Schizosaccharomyces pombe: one gene and its partner. The protein of the gene in region 2 binds, or shares a complex with, the protein of the main gene of each other region. Each region holds a gene or a part of one and is shown on either strand. Other genes may lie near its edges.

Region 1 (8,540 bases), 490 kb from region 2:
ACCGTAAATAAAGTATGGTTAGAAAATCAACCTTACTCTACTAATATATATATATATATATATATATGCATACGTAAATTAGTTAAACAAATCTACATGATGCAGGTTTTTTCTTTTTTCTATAGGAGCTAAAGTTATGTACATAAAACAGAAAGAAAAGAGATAACCTCGATTCAAGTTTTCTTCACCTTTTCAGCAAAACAGTCGATGAAACCTTTTTGATTTTTATACGATATAAAGTTTAGATGGAAGAAAACGCGAAATCAGATTAATTCAAAACACGCTAATATAATTAATTATAGATTAGAAGCAGACACAGCGTGGTATCTTTTAGATAATTTAAAAATGAATCCTAAATACTGTACAAATAAACATTAAATCGTTGCTTGTAATATAAATGTTCCAAATCGACAAGCCTATTGAAAGAAAATACTCAGCTTGCATCATCTCATCATGGTGACATTTAAAAGGCTAAGTTAATTTAAAGAGATAATTATGGTTTAGATATAAGCCATCCTTTTCAATAGCGGCACCTGCTGCTATAAAGTAATCAAGTACTTCGTTAAACTCACGGGGTTCTAATCCGGGAAATAGTAAGTTAGTCAGTTGGGATCTCAAGATTCCGGGTTTTCGAAGCAGTTGGTATACAATGGACTGCTCGATATTCATCCATATCATCTCAATAAGCTCGCATTTACCATTTAACCATAGCCGTGGCTCATGCGAAGGTGGAGTTGCCAACTTTTCAGTAACACCATAATTTTTTTTAGATTCACTTTCTTTGCCGCTGAGAACAAGAGTTACATTGATATTGTCATGTTCTAGCAAACGAGTACGATAGCCTTCAGATAGACCATACTCATTAAACTTGCTTCCGACTATAGATATTTGCAACTTTCCTTGAGATAATAAATCAAGGATACATGCGAGAGTTCCACTGTTAGATGTTTCTTCAAATAAATGATTCTTATGATTTTGAAAACCCTCCAATAAAAATTTATTAAATCGCTTGGCTTGTGACAATAAAAATGGAGGTAAAGGAGACTTGAGGGAACTTGCAAATTTCTCCGTAAACTGGAAGTTTCGACCAGGCTGCAATCTACTGTTTTCTGAATTAACTCTAGTAATTATTCTCTTATCCAATAATTCTTGATGAGCAGCGATGAGAATATCTTCTGGATACTGCATAAGACGTTCTTGCGAAAACCGAGCATCATATGTAGCGTCTGGGATGGCAACGATGCTCTTGATAGTAGACTTCGCATCAAACAACTGACCTTTCTCACAATTCTCATCCCCTTCATTATTTTGTTTGTCATTTAAGGAAAGCGGCATGGTAAAAGGCATATCACAATACGCATTCATTTTCGAGGCAACTGACAGGGAAGGATCAAATATCATTTCCCGGAAATTAGTTTCTTGTTTAACAACCTCTATATTGTAAGTTTCATAAACGTCAACGAGGTCTCTCGGTAACCTAGTAGTAGCAAGATTTGAAGAACTAATCATATAAGGTCTACAAGACGCCTTAACATATGGGGTAGGATCAAAATCATCAACAGAATCAGGATATGGCATTAAATCTTTTCTTGAGACAGCATCTTTGTACATTTGCTGCCAATTTTCTGATAAAAACTGTTGCAAGCCTTTAAATTTTGTATGTTGTCTAATGGATAAATATCTTCTAGTAAGAGCATATATGTCCCGGTTAGGAAAGCATTTCTGTACAGCCTCCCATTTGATTAATCTGTTGGTCCCACCATAATAAATTTGAGTAATAACAACCGCTCTAATCAAGGTCTCATCCTCATCTGATGTAAAATCATTTTTGAAGCGTTTAACTGAACGTTTGCTTGCATGTTCAGTTGAAGAAAAATAATCAAATTCCTCCACTGAAGCGTATCTATCTTTCCGCAACTTTTTAGGTTTTTCTACTGGGCTTTTCTGTTGGGTATTTTCGTGCAGTGCGAAATCGGGAGCCAATGATTCTAAAAGTTGTTGCGCGAGTCTCATTGGATCGTCTTTCTCCTTTTCATTTTTCTTCACCTCCTCTTTATCAACAGGTTTAGTCTCAGAAGATTCCTTGTGACGTTTTATTTCCGCTGGCATAGATTTACGCCTTGACAAAGAAGTATTCCTTTTCAAAAAATCGACATCTACATCTTTTAATATTTCTGGAGTTGATTGTTTTTCGATTTCAGGAGTTGTAATTTGAGCTCTTAACTGTTGAAACCTAGGTGAATCAGGCTTCATATCGTATTGTACCACGATATCTTTTCTAACGAGCTTCCCAAGTCCATTGTTTGTTGCAATCACTAATTTACGAACCTTTTTCTCTTGCATTAATTTTTCAAGGGTTTGCTGAAAAGTTCTCCTATCCATAACGGTCCTAGAAGTTTCCGGGTTTCGTCGCACTTTAAGGTCTGCCAAGTCTTCAAACATCTTTCGAGATATTTCAAAAGCCCCATTCTGTTCAACGAGATAGGAAAGAATTAAACCTTTACGTTGTAGGAATATAAAGTCTACAGATTCCAAACGGCGCTTTTTCGTAGGGGATGAAAAGTTAGCCATTAGACTGCCTGTCGAATGGGATAATTGTGAGTCTACTGAAACGGGATAATGAAATGAAGAGTCTAAATCAATTGAGCTTTGAGAATCAGAGACTTGTAAAGAAGATGTGTTTCCATATTTTAGGTGATCTGGCGAACTAACCGTGAAATTCTTCGAAGGAACACTTGATGACACGTTCAAAAGAGGCTCCAAATGTTCTGCTTTTTTAACATGGTCTTCATTAAATTCTGGGTTTTTTAGAGGAGCAAGGCCTCTATAAATTCGTGACGTTTTCGAGGGTGTCAAAGATCCTGCTATGCTTAGGTTGCTACTAGTGCTAGGGGTAGAAATTGTAGCATTTTGGATGAACCCTTCGGAAACTGGTGAAATAGCAAGGGAAGGTAGATTATTTTCATTTTTAGAGGGCCGAATGGGAGATGAGGTTACAGAAATATTTGCAGATTTTCTAGGTCTACCTCTTTTTCTTGGCAATAAAGTCATTCCGTCGGGAGATACTTCCGCATTAGATTCCATATTTCCCTTATGATGTAGAGAATTTAAGAAAAGGGAAGAGTCAATTGGAGAAAATTCACCAGCGAGTGAGTGAACGTGAGGTAATAGCTTCGAAATTGTTTCGGCAGGAATGCCATCTCGAATAAGGCGATTTAACTGAGACTGAAGCGTAAAGTATCTATATTGTCTCGACTTTTTAGTTTTATCTTCAAATCGAGTAATACTCATGTGTGAGAGATGGTTTGGCACACTGGAACGATGTTCCACTAAAGAACCAAGGAGCTTAAATAAAGGTTTGTTAAAACGTATTCCTGTAAGGCCACTCAAAATTTGTAAAGTGATTACCCCATGAAATCCGGCATTTCTGATTAAGACAAAACACTGGAATTCCAATGGACGAAAACGAGACCATTGGGGAAGAGTAGGTCCAACGTCGGCTAGTGGCTGCAAAAAGGAAGCATCAAATTCTTCTTTTGACGGAAGGAGTGGTTCTTCTTCCTCTAATTCATCGTCTTCTGGAATATCATCCACTTCAGTAAAATCAACGTCGTCCTCAGTTGCGTCTAAAGATGAAATGTAAGGTTTTATAAATTGTAAACAGCGAATGCAACGCTCTGGAGAGTTAGGAACAAAAGTAAGGCATTTGCGAAGGTATCCATTATTGTGTAAATATGTAACTTGTCGAGCATAATATCTTCGTTCCCAGCGACTGTGGTTTAAATTCACCATCGCACGAGCATCAACATGACGGCAAATTCCGTTACGTGAAGACTGAACAGCATCACATATATTGCTACGAATTTTTTCAGTGTTATAAATTTGCTTACCAGATACCTGAGCAACAGTTTCGTTAATTGTGCTGTTCTCTGACTCAAATCGCTTTAGAACTAGCAGAGCAGTTTGTGCTCTGCTTCGATTAATGGCAACCTTTGATATTAAAGAAGCATCTTCTAGCGCTTGAATACGACCGTAAACGCTTCGAGGCTCCTGCTTAGTCTCCTTACATAATTGGATTCTATCAACACCTTCCTGCCTATATCTAGATATGCAAGACAATAATTCAAAGGCTAAAGGTTGAATTTTTGAATCTGTCTTCGTCTTGTAAGTGAGAGTAAGCCATTGCCTGTCTTCTGAAGCGAATAAGCGTATACGAGCGCGTAACTCAATCGTGATATCTTGGTAATTCCAAGGGATTTCTTGCATTTTACTTCGTAATCCAGTGGCATCTTCATCTTCAATCCAAACCTCAATTCCATCTTCTTTTAAAATTAAAGGCCACACAAATGTTTTATAGTTATCGTCTAAATTTTGTACGATACCTTGCCGAAAAAAAAAATTTGCAGCAAATTCCCATAAACGATCTATGCTACATCCCGATGATCCATCCAAAGCAATTTCTTCTGAGCAATGCCGAATGAGTGAATCCATAAGGGCGATTCGAACGCTGGTTCTAACACTATGTACAAAAGGAAAGCGTGGTTCGAGAGGTGAAAGTTAGTGAAAATAGTGATACTTTATGAGTGTTTTTAAAATTTTGTTAAATTTTATACAGAAGAACTTAAAGACATATTTAATATACTTTAACCGATGTATTGAGTTATACGACTGCTAAATAGTATACCGACACAATAAACGACTAAATCGGTTCACATTTTAATATGCTCTTATTCAGTAAGCAGATGGTAGCTATTATGAGTATATTCTCATATGCCAACCTTGTAACCGAAATGATGGTTACATAAAGCACAGCTCTAAATGATATATACAGCTGATAAAACAAAGTAAGAAAACTTTCTCAAAACTTTTCTTTTAAATATGAATTCTGGAATATTGAAGTGAACGCTAAAGTCCGCAAAACTGAACATTTAATTAGCACTAAATTGAAAAGGGCACATGGTGGAATAGTTTACAAATTTTCTGCTACGCGCGGCAATACCCACTGCAAAAGCATAATCTTTTCTCTGACTAAAAGATTCTTTTTAGAATAACAATTGCGCAATTTGCAAACTACTCAGAGGCCAACAGAGATGAGGATTCTTTATGAAAGTATAATCTTAAAAAGGTAAAATGACTTAAACAATTATTACTAAACAAACAATACATTTTTCTGCTTGTTTGAAATTAGACTACATTAAATGAGCTAAGGACATAAAATGAGTATTCTATATTTAAGGAGCTTTTAACTAATAAAATATACTATCAATTGTGTATTAATTTTAATGTCAGGCGGTATAACAGTCGCGGAGATCTAACTAGCTTACCGTAATATAGTGTGCAGAGATTATGCAGCTAGTAAATAAGCAAACCCGTTTTATTATGTATCGTACTGCAGTAGTCCAGATATGTGACATTTCCTGATGCTCTACCATTATTAATCGTCAATTGAACTCTTTTACAAATTAATATAAATTTATAAATCCAAATCCTTCTTTTTTCTGCACTATTTTCAATAACTCATAAGACTACAGCTCAATTTGTCAACTACAAGTATTTTTGCAAAGTTTTGGGAAAAACTCCCAAGTTTTACTAAGTTTTACTATTTTAAAGCTATTTTTGAATCTTCGCATTACGAAATGGGTGGAAATAAGCGTGCATACTATGCAGTAGCGCGTGGTCGAAATACTGGTATATATAGTACATGGTAAGACTGCGTATCTCAAGAAAATGGTTTCGTTGTTAAATATAAGTTTCACGTTAAGCAAGTTTCGATACGGTCGTATGCTTTGCTTCAATTCAATCTGAATCGGTTTTTTCAAGATGATCTCTTATTAACATTTCCTTGATGGATACACCTTGTTGTTTAACAAACTCTTACTAATTTTTAGGGATGAGGCGTCGGATCAGGTGAAAGGTTATGGAGGTAATCGCTACAAGAAATTTGACAGCTATGAGGCTGCTCAGGAATTTTGCAGGACCGAAGGAAGTCGCTACTCCTCGTCTTCTGGCCCATATCGCCGCAGTACAACAAGTTATGGGTACTCTCCATATTCTTCTAGTTCCTCAAATTACTCTGCTAGACACTCCGATAAATATAGAAAGAAAATTTCTAGAAGTTATAGTACCGAAAAAGATATTGAAATATTTTCGAATGACACTCATGAAAAATCAATTGCGTGCTCGGATCGACAGGTCGTCTATGCTGACGGTTCTAGTTTGCGAAATGGGAAAAAAGGAGCTGTTGCTGGCTGTGGAGTTTTTTTCGGAAATGATGACCCAAGAAATATTTCAGTACCGTTGGCTGGGGAAGAGCAAACCAACAATCGTGCGGAATTGCAAGCCATAATCCTAGCCCTTGAAAATACATCTGGCGATTTGACCATCCGCTCTGACAGCAATTATTCCATTAAGTCACTAACCACATGGCTGCCTAAATGGAAGAAAAATGACTTTAAGACTAGCAATTCACAACCTGTAAAAAATTTGGATTTGATCAACCGCGCTTCAGATTTGATGAGTGACAGAAATGTTTCGCTAGAGTACGTGAAAGGACACAGTACCGATTACGGTAATCAACAAGCCGATATGCTTGCTCGGCGAGGAGCTTCTGAGTAAATGGTCATCTATGATGAGCGCTGTAAAAAATGGATATAGGTACATTCTTTTGAAATTTGCCGTATAATTTTCGTCTACTCTTCGCTGGTTGTATGTGCTTTTTTTGTTCTCGTTTTGCATAATGCTACATATTTTATTGTAATTAAATATCATGCTATTATAACAATTTTAAAGAGGAAATTGAAAAGTATAGATTCGGAGCTAAGATAATTTTATTATTTAACGTTGAAAATGACACTTCGCACTAGTCAACAATTCCCTTTTCAATTAAATTTGGTTCGGTGTCTTAACGGCAGTCATCGAAATCATATTGCAATGGACTTAGCAAAGAATTAATAACAATTCGCTTCGTAATGAATTTGAAAAGGCTTAAATAGTGGTTTTGAAACGAACATTCACAGTTAATAGGTAGTTATTTGACTAACGTGAAGAAAGTGTACCAAAAATACTTTGAGTTTAGACAATGGGTGTCTCTAGCTTTTACCCACCTTTGCATGTACAGCGTCGAAGGAAATTATTTAAAATACTTCAAGGAGGCTTCCCTGTGCGATCTTTGTTAGACATTGGATGTGGAGATGCTCGTTTTCTATCATATTTAGTACCTTGCAATGATCAAGTGCCTATAGAATTTCTGGCCGGTATTGATATTAACGAACAAAGTATTGAAAGAGCTACTGAGGCTTTACAGGTTAGAACCGAAGACTTTTTACAACTACGTTGGCGACCGCTACATATTGAATTATTGCTTGGTAATATTAAAGATTTTACTCATTATAAACATGTTGATGCGGTTGTAGCTTCAGAGTTTATTGAGCATTGTCAAGTTGCAGAGATTTTAGCCTTTGAAAAACTTGTTTTTGGAAACTTGAAGCCCAATGTTTGCGTAGTGTCAACTCCGAATTTTGAATTTAACACAATCTTTGAGAAACTATCAACCTTGACAAGTAGTATATCATCTCGTACTTCTACCAATTTTAGACATCCTGAACACGTTTTTGAATGGGATCGAAAAGAGTTTGCTAAATGGGCTTATAAAATTTGTAAAAGATACCCAGAGTATACTGTTGAATTTACGGGCTGTGGTTTGCTAAATGATCTAATAGATGGTGACGATTTGTTACATTTTCGCCCATCATCTACTTACGGTTTCTGCACCCAAATCGCAGTATTTCATCAATCTAAAAACAATGCTGCTTCTCATTGCTTCTTAAAAGACCAAAATTCAAGCATCCTTCTTTACAAAAAGATTACATACCCATTTATGGAGCAACTATTTCCTCCAACAGTGCAGCAATTTATGAATCTTCTGAAAAAAGCATTTTTTGATCATTTATTTGGACGTCACTGTTTACTTTTATTCCAGGTTATTGCTGGCAAGTGTGCTTTGTCAGTAAAATTACCTTTCTTGTTTATCTGGGAGTCTTCGCCTCTCATTCGACATGCCTTCCATTATGATGATTCAATTTACTTATCATATTGTCCTGAATTAAAAAAAAGCAAACATAAAGGTATAGCTTTGGCAAACTCGTTTAGTTTTCGCATTGCAAAAGTACTTAAGAAAAGTAGAATTTTTATTATAACTTTTCATCATTACGTTTGATATACACATTTAGTAATTAAAAACATCCATCTTTTTCACCAGGACATTTCATCAAATCTTTTCAGTAAGTCAACAGATTGCTGAAGTTTCTTGTGTTCTGCAATTCGCATATAAAATATGGGGCAGTCTCTACTGGTACAAATGACGTCTTGATGCATACTTCCTTGGCATCGCTGACATTGAGTCCATAAGCGAGCAAAACGAACTTCTAAATCATTCACTTGAGCAACCTGACGTTGATACAGTTCCGCCGATCTATTTAGACAATTCTCACATAAAGCAGTTTTACCTTTTTTTATGGGAGCTTTGCATCCAAGACAGGTCT
Region 2 (8,540 bases):
GCTTTCATAATCCTCAAACTGAACATTATCGGCATTGACGATGAACGCAGCTAAGAACCAGAGAGAAATGATACACAACTGCATCACGAAAATATATCAGCCAAACGAGTAAAAGGCCTTCTTAATTATTCGATTAGTAAAGCAGAGCTTTTGAGGAAGAAAAATTAAAGGATCAAAGTAAGAAATTGATTAAAACGAGTGACAGTCCATTCAACCAACAAACTGCTGGTCAATTGAGGTTAGGAGCGACTTTGAAGGATTAATTGAAAGGTAACCATTAAAAGATACAACGTAATGGTCCTATACGTGTAATTCGTGTATCTGCCAACAAAAGCTGGTAGCTTCCACTAAATTGAAATCTGCTGCCGATGCCGTTCCAGTGAAAACGTAAAACATCATGGCAGACGCGAACTGTTAATGTACGTTACAGTCAATACGGATACAAATAACGAGTTTCGACTAAACATTTTAACACGTATAAGAATTTCGATGTTAAAGTTATTTATAGATGTGCATGAGCGCGGTATTTCCTCCTGAAGCATATTATCTTATAAAGAAACATATATATTGCGCTTATTGTTATTCTTATACGCAAAGTATCTATTAATATTTTTAAATACAAATTAGGTCAATAAAGTCCGACTGAAGGAGTAATTTATGTTTTTAACAGTGCTTCTCTAGGTTTAATATTACTTAAATCACCTATAGCTGTAAAAAGGTAATAAATGACCTTTTGGAAGAATACTTGAATGCGTCTCAAGTATTTAACGCGGTCTAGTATAGCATAGCGTAATGGAGTACAATTAACTAAACTAAGCACGGTGGAAGCACAAGTTTTCAAATTTTCATCAACTGTAAGCAAATGGCGGACGAACCATTGCTTCTCAATTTTGTTGTTGATAATGCTCAATCAAGAAAGCCTGAAGCCTTGAAGTCTAGTCGTCGCTGGACTGATCGCGCTAGAGATAGAAAAAGGCAAAAACGCAATTCTAATGAATCATCAAAATCAACCGTTAAAAGAAATTCAGGCACAAATGGTGCTTCCACTGATTATAAAAATTCACAAAAGGAAAAAGTAATAAATCCTGTGTTTGATCCTAGAAAACCAGCTCATGAGCTAAAAGGCAACAAGCGCGATAATACTTTTGTTACATCTTTGTTTACGGGTGATGATTCTGAGCATTTTTCACAGGACGTTGGTCAAAATCTTGAGGATAATCAAATTAGTAATATTGGGACTACAAAGGAGGCATCCAACGCACCTATTAAAACTACCAACTTTGCTGGTGTTCAATTAGATACTCAACTGGCTGATCATTTAAATAATAAAATGAACATTAGCGCTCCCACTGCTATCCAAAGCTGTTGTCTTCCAGCATTGCTAAACACAGATGATAAGGATGCGTTCATTGAAGCACAAACCGGATCGGGTAAAACTTTGGCTTATTTACTACCAATTGTGCAACGATTGATTCGACTTCCTAAAAACTTACACACCCGTACTAGCGGTATATATGCTGTGATTATGGCTCCAACCCGGGAGTTATGCCAACAAATTTATAACGTTGCTAACAAGCTCAACAATAATCCGTTATCACACTGGATTGTCTCCTGTAATGTGATAGGTGGTGAGAAGAAAAAAAGTGAAAAGGCTCGCATACGAAAGGGTGTTAATATTTTAATTGGAACGCCTGGTCGTTTGGCGGATCATTTAGAAAATACGGAAGCACTGGATGTTAGTCAAGTACGATGGGTCGTTTTGGATGAAGGTGATAGGTTGATGGATATGGGGTTTGAAGAAACTTTGACTAAAATTTTATCTTATTTGGAATCACAAAGCAGTATTATTAAGAAGGATCTCAGTATTCCTTCTCGTAAGGTTACAATGCTTTGCTCCGCTACAATGAAAGATACCGTAAAGCGTTTAAGTGATTCCGCTTTAAAAGATGCTTTGTACTTAAAATCATCTATTGTGGAGGAAACCAATGACGGTTATAGCCAGGCACCCGAGCAGCTTCTTCAAAGATATGTTGTTGTTCCTCCAAAACTGAGGCTTGTAAGCTTGGTTGCCCTATTGCGAAGTCATGTTAGATCATATAAGAAAATAATAATTTTTCTTTCTTGTTCAGATAGTGTTGATTTTCACTTTGAAGCTTTTAGATGTGCGATAAACGCTGATGAAATGGAAGAGGCCGTGAAAGAGAAACCGGACTCTGAGGGTGATATCATTTCAAATGCTCCAGCTCTGAGAATAGATGGCAAATCAAATGTATACCGATTACACGGTTCCTTGTCTCAACAAATCAGGACTTCGACGCTGAATCTTTTTTCTTCAAGTGAAGATTCTGGTTCACATATACTTTTGTGTACAGATGTGGCAGCCCGTGGTCTTGATCTGCCAAATGTTGATTTGGTTGTGCAGTATGATGCTCCGTTTAGTACCGACGATTATTTGCATAGAATTGGCAGAACAGCTAGGGCTGGACACAATGGTGCAGCTATTATGTTTTTACTCCCGAAGGAAAGTGAATATATTAATTTGTTAAAGTCTTCAGTTAGCGCTAATATATTGGAGCAGCCTAATGGTCCATCTGGGTTGTTGAGTGCTGGTTTTTCGCAAGGTAAAACAAACACCAATGATTGGCAAGATCGTGCAACAGAATGGCAGTTGGAATTGGAGCGTTTTATATTAGAAAATGAACCTATGAGGAATATTGCAAAAAGGGCTTTTACTTCTTATGTGAGGGCTTATGCAACACATCTTTCATCAGAAAGAAGTATTTTTAACATGCGTGACCTTCATTTGGGACATATTGCTAAGTCCTTCGCTTTGCGAGAAGCGCCGGGCAAAATATCTGGTGCAAATTCTTCAAAGCCAAGAAAGCAGGGTGGTTCGGTTGATAAAGGTAAAAGTAAATCATCGAAAGACATTGCTGCTTTGATGCACAGAAAAGCAATGGAACATTATTCAACGGAACACAATATAGGATAAACATTATTTGTGTAAAATTTAAGGTTCAAACGGTTTTTGGTTGGCATTTGTATATATTTATATAATTTAATTTCGATCTTTTAAACGCAATAACAATCTTTCGAAGATAAAATCTCTTGCAAGTGATTATGGAGAAGTTAAGTTATCATTTCTAAACAAGTATTGAGAGGAATTATGAATGGCGTGCCATGGTAATGCTTGGCAATTGTATCTGCTATACAGGTTATGTATAACAGCTGAGATATATCAAACACCACATAATATTACTATTGCTGCTTATGTAGTAGTCTTGCACCATTGCGTTATGTGATAACTCAATTTCAAGGACTCACTATCCCTTATCCAAATAATATTTGTAATGTCAGTTGTGGAGCTACTATTTTAAATTATTAAAAGATTCAAGACAAAAAATAAAAAAGTTAGGAATAGCCTACAGCACCCCGGATTCCCATGTTGTCTCCAACCATAGTACTAACGAGGCCCTCAGACGCTTAACTGCAGTGATCGGACGGGAACTGGTGTTTTCGCCTAGGTATGGCCGTAGACGTTTGTACCTAACGATAATTCTTTTTAAAATTAAACAAACAATTAGAAAATAATGAAATCCAAGCATCAAAATTTAAAGATTTGATCAAGAAAAAACTGCTATAGGAGGTTCCTAATATTAAGTTTGAACTACTGATTAAATTATTTAATAGTAGCATCACATACTATTCCCTATAATCCTTTAATAGTGTCAGAATAATGCTCTCAGCAAACCCGTAGTAATTGAAAGAAATTTGTTGCATATTTACCAGTGAAATTGAGCTAACATTTCACATAACGTTTAGTAGATTCAATATAACTATATATATATTTTTTTCGATTACCGAAATACTTCCTTTGACAAAATCGTGTTAACAGAACTAAAAATGAGGAGAGATAGGCTGGTAAAAAGAGCAATCGAATTTCATTGAATGTGTTAAATACTTAAAATAAATTTAACTATTTGCAAAATTTATTCTTTATGAAGTTTCTGCATGGACTCGTATTAACCAACAAATGTTTGAAGTTAAGTCTAAGTTTCACACTCACAATTAAAGCAGGATTGAGCTGAACCAAGACGAACAGCAACAAATTAAGAATTGGGATTTTTTAACAAATTAATTTTTTCAAAGTGGAATAATTATTTGAAATAAATATTTTCTTTGAGCACTTGCAAACGAGGTTTTGATTAGGTCAATATTGCTTTGATGAAGTTCACCACCATTCCTAATGAATATTGACGCGTATGGGCCCTAAATCTAAGGAATACGAAAATCCAAGCTCTTATAAAAACGATGAAGATAATGATGATGACGGCGATTTTGTTTTAGAGAACGTTATGTCTGAAGAAGACATAGAAATAGAAACACCGTCAAGAAACCGAAAAAGGGTAAGTACTACTCGTCGAACCCCCTCAAAACCTATTAGAAGTCAACCTTTAACACCTTCATCTTCCAAAGGCGCTGGGAATGAACCGAAGAGTCAGAATTCTAGTACTACTCGTGGAAGTGCTAAAAAGCAAAGTTCAAAAGGTTTAGAAGAGAAGTTAATAAATTCTTACGGGACTCACGTTGAATCTTTAAATAAAGGAAGGAGGCTAATCGAAATTTGGAAATATTATGAGACTGCTCCTGGTCAATCTTCCTTTGAAGGTCAGACGTCGTCTGATTCCAAGTTGCAAACACTTCTGAATCTCGACGGACAGCAGTTATTATCATATTCCGAAAATCCTTTTTATTTGTTTGAAGTTAAAAATTTAAGCATAAGTTTCCATTTTGAATCACCACAGCAAGTTGAACCCTGTCAACCGGTAAACCCTTTTAAGGAAAATCCACAGAAATCGGGGTTTGTGGTGAATACAGGGATTCCTTTATCGTCTGTTTCATGGTTACCAACAAATAAAGAAACACAGTTTTTAGCTGTAGGAGGGATGCTAAAATTTTCAGAAACTACTGAATCAGTATTTATGCGAACTTCTGGACGGAATCAAATTCAACTTTGGAAACTAGAAAACAAAACCAATTTTAAGTCGGAATTTATATTGTACCATGATTGGGGAAGTGTTCTTCAACTAGAGTGGTGCCCCACAATTTCGGTTGAAGATTCCATTCTTGGGTTTTTAGCAGTTGTCTGCAGCGATGGAAAGCTGCGCGTTCTTCGTGTACCTCGATCACCAGTAAAATTTCATGGTATTAAACATCTTTTTTTTTCATTCTCCTAACATGAACTAGTATTCGTCGAACAAGCAGACTTTACTTTTGGATTTAATGATTCTCTTATTTCTTGTTGCACATGGGTTTCCCCAGAACATGGCGATATACATCAAATTTTGGTCGGCTGCTCTAACGGTAAGCCTGTTAAACTAAATTATTGTTACTAATTAAGTATAAGGTTATTTAGCTCTGTGGGATATTTTGAGCAGCCAGGAATGTCCCCTTTTTTACATCCCATATCATGATTCTTACATACATAATGTAGTACAGTGCCTGGATGACTTTCCGTGGCTTTTTCTGACCACTGCATTTGATTGTTATACTCGAATATTTGATATTCGCGATCCCATAATTGATAATAGACCGCTTTCTCATAAACGAGGTACGATTATTATTATTATAGCTTCTTCCGAACTAACTTAATATCAGATATTTGTTACACAATCACTTGGAACAACATGTTGCAGTCGATTATCTCCTGTAGCGAATCTCAATCTGTGGTCATCGAATCTTTACGAGGCACTTCGACACAGTTATTAGATGAAAGAAACGGCTCAATAATATCTCTCTCAAACAGCAAGTTCCATCCTTTTGTAGCGTGTGCTGCTTCGGATGGAATAGTTACGATCGTCAATCCATTCCGTCTTTTGGGATTCTCTCACAAACAAAAAGCTAATGTGCATAGAATATTCCAGTTAGAATATAGCGAAAAACAGGATTCATATCGTATGTTAGATGGTTTTCGTCCAAGGCTTCCCAAAGCCAAAAAGCTAGACATGTATATTTATCCATGGCAAATCCAAGTGAACAAAGTCGAGTGGAATGGAAACAAAGGTTATGCTGGTTGGTTAGCTAGTGGTATGGCTTGCGGAATCCTACGAGTTGAAGATCTCTCAGCCGTTGAAAGAAGATGATAAAATTATCCTTTATTAATACAATATATACGATTTTTTATAAATAAGATCTAGCATTTGTGTTTCATCACTTTTTTTTGGAGAAAAACACATACATTGTATTCTATTCTATTTTTTCTGCATCATTAAGATATGGTTTTATGTACCATGTCGGTAATTTTCGTAGGAAATAAAAATGAGGTTCAAAAACGGCATTCAACCTAAATGTCAAATCTGATCTTCAGAATCTAAAAAGTTTGGATTATTTGATAACTTGTTTAAAAATTTTGCATGCCAATCCTGAAAAACTCGAAGTGGTATGAATGTATCATTGGGCCGCAGGTCACCTAACCCAATGGAGTTGGGAGGAAGTTGAGATGTCGCAAAGCTTGCTAGGAAATTATATAAGTTGGTTAAAATTTTTTGGGCAACAGAAGTTACGGGAGGTAAGGGTTTGGCGATGACATTCGATGCTGAAGTGCTTACAGCTGGTGTTTCTGTGAAATTGGTCAAAGGCTCTACACTAATACCTAACATGGCAGTAATTCCAACGCAATTTTCATTTTCCGAAAGAGTTTGTATGGTGTTTTTTAAACGGAAAATTGCACTAGGCTTTTCGTTTGTCAAATAACCTAAAAATTGAAAAGGCTTTCCAGGCCATTGAAAGTAAACCTTAGCACCCATTCCGACTGGGAATGGAGAGTTTGGCAAAAGAAAAACCACAATGTGATTCAAGCTTTCCGCAGAGTCTAGTTGGAAGACAAATTGATTATCGGCGACTTGTTGCAAATTCGTTTGCACTAGATTGTGTATTAGTTATGTGTATATAATAAAAACATTTATTTAAGTTTTATTTTTGAACTTCTAGCGTGAAAAAACTTCGTTTAATGTAAAAATTGTGCGAAAGTGCCAGAGAAGCGACATACCTAATCGACCAGCACAGATGGCACCAAACATGATTTTCGTTAAGTAGAAGAACTACAAGTACGCAGGAAACAAAAAAATATAGAGTAGTCTTTTCTTTGAAAAAGTCGTCTGACAATAAATTGGCCTGTACGAAAGGTTAGGAGTAAAAAACAAATCCCGTTCTAAAATCCTGCTACTTAGAAGAAGTAAAAATCAAGTAACAAGGTTGCTACATTTGATGACGTAGTATGGACTGGTACACAGGGTGAGGATAGAATGAGAATTAGCATAACGTTCTAAAATTTATTATAATTTTTTTTTTTTTTTATTTTTGTTGTTATTTATTTATTTTTAATTGGATTTGTTGACTTACAAGCCTATTTATGCGTTGTAATATTATCATTATTATTATATGGTATTTTTTTTTATTTGAACGATTCATCCACGTTAATAAATAAGTTATAACTACTAAAAAAAAAAAAAATTATATATATATATATATATCTACATGGAATGCTTGTTTGTGTCATGGGTACTTTACTATTCAAAGTACCTGAGCTTAGTACTTACCTATTTAATTATGATTTTTTGCGTATGAAAAGCATCTAACGCTTCTTTCTGCAAACACGATTTTTTTGGACTGCTGAGTTAAAACCTCATAACCGCATTTTTTAACGCAAACAGTGAACGATTAGGGACGAATTATCAACTGTTTTTAAGCAGATGTCAGTTTCAATACAACTAGCTACAAATTCTAGCAACAGTACGGTTGGACAAATAAAATATATTCAATAAAACATATGTGATAGTACAATTACGCATTCTGTTTTGTTCCTCCACTCCAAAGCGAAAATTAATTCCTCAAACATTTTTTTTATTAACCGAATCCATTCTGCAGATATTTGTAGTCAAACAAGCAACTAAATGTTCTATCAAACCACCTACTAATTAATGAAGATACAAACGATTGATCAAATTAAAAAGCATGAATGTCTCAAATCTAAGAATATTGATATTATCAAAAAATCACGACTAGCCTAAAAAATATAATGTACACCACAAGCGAACCGAATTTACTATCAAAACCAGTAAACAAGGATTGTAAAAGGTGTTTGTTCTAGGTCTCAAGCCATTTAATTACAACCTCATTGCTTTAAGCCAGACTGCAATTGGTAAAAGAGACCATTGGCAAAGAAAAATTAATTCCTTCAAGTAAATATATACCGAGAAGCAGAGAGCAGTCACATACGTTGAACAGTTGAATTCGTTATATTACATAAAGAGTAGCACAGTATTCAATCGTTCCATGGTATAAACAATAAATACACCAAGGATAAAAAATAAGAAATCAGCGTTACTTAAAAGTATTTAATTGTAGTGTACCCATATGGAATCGGACGTTTGTGCATCATTAATTTTACCATAACCGCGGAGTTTATACTTAAAGTCGTATAATAAAGTGAGTATGGTAAGTGACGACGCATTGAACAGCAAAGTGTCTCTATTCTATAA

The links.
Region 1: sfc6 (region 2) and sfc3 share a complex: the UniProt entries of both Schizosaccharomyces pombe proteins name them as parts of the TFIIIC complex.

The regions. Positions count from the first base shown.
Region 1 is NC_003423.3:2,746,866-2,755,405, reverse strand, and holds sfc3 (transcription factor TFIIIC subunit Sfc3), read right to left. Parts: upstream 4,524-8,540; 5' UTR 4,492-4,523; coding exon 472-4,491; 3' UTR 245-471; downstream 1-244. Other genes in the region: ribonuclease H Rnh1, read left to right, coding at 5,637-5,704, 5,889-6,615; hen1 (S-adenosylmethionine-dependent methyltransferase), read left to right, coding at 7,079-8,215; DNA polymerase delta catalytic subunit Cdc6, read right to left, coding at 8,251-8,540. UniProt on the Schizosaccharomyces pombe protein: TFIIIC mediates tRNA and 5S RNA gene activation by binding to intragenic promoter elements.
Region 2 is NC_003423.3:2,257,952-2,266,491, forward strand, and holds sfc6 (transcription factor TFIIIC subunit Sfc6), read left to right. Parts: upstream 1-4,233; 5' UTR 4,234-4,262; coding exon 4,263-5,205; exon of another isoform or gene 5,206-5,247; coding exon 5,248-5,364; intron 5,365-5,407; coding exon 5,408-5,611; intron 5,612-5,658; coding exon 5,659-6,143; 3' UTR 6,144-6,213; downstream 6,214-8,540. Other genes in the region: SPOM_SPBC21H7.03C (multiple inositol polyphosphate phosphatase), read right to left, coding at 1-84; ATP-dependent RNA helicase Dbp7, read left to right, coding at 863-2,992; hikeshi family nuclear import carrier Opi10, read right to left, coding at 6,351-6,922, 7,049-7,079. UniProt on the Schizosaccharomyces pombe protein: TFIIIC mediates tRNA and 5S RNA gene activation by binding to intragenic promoter elements.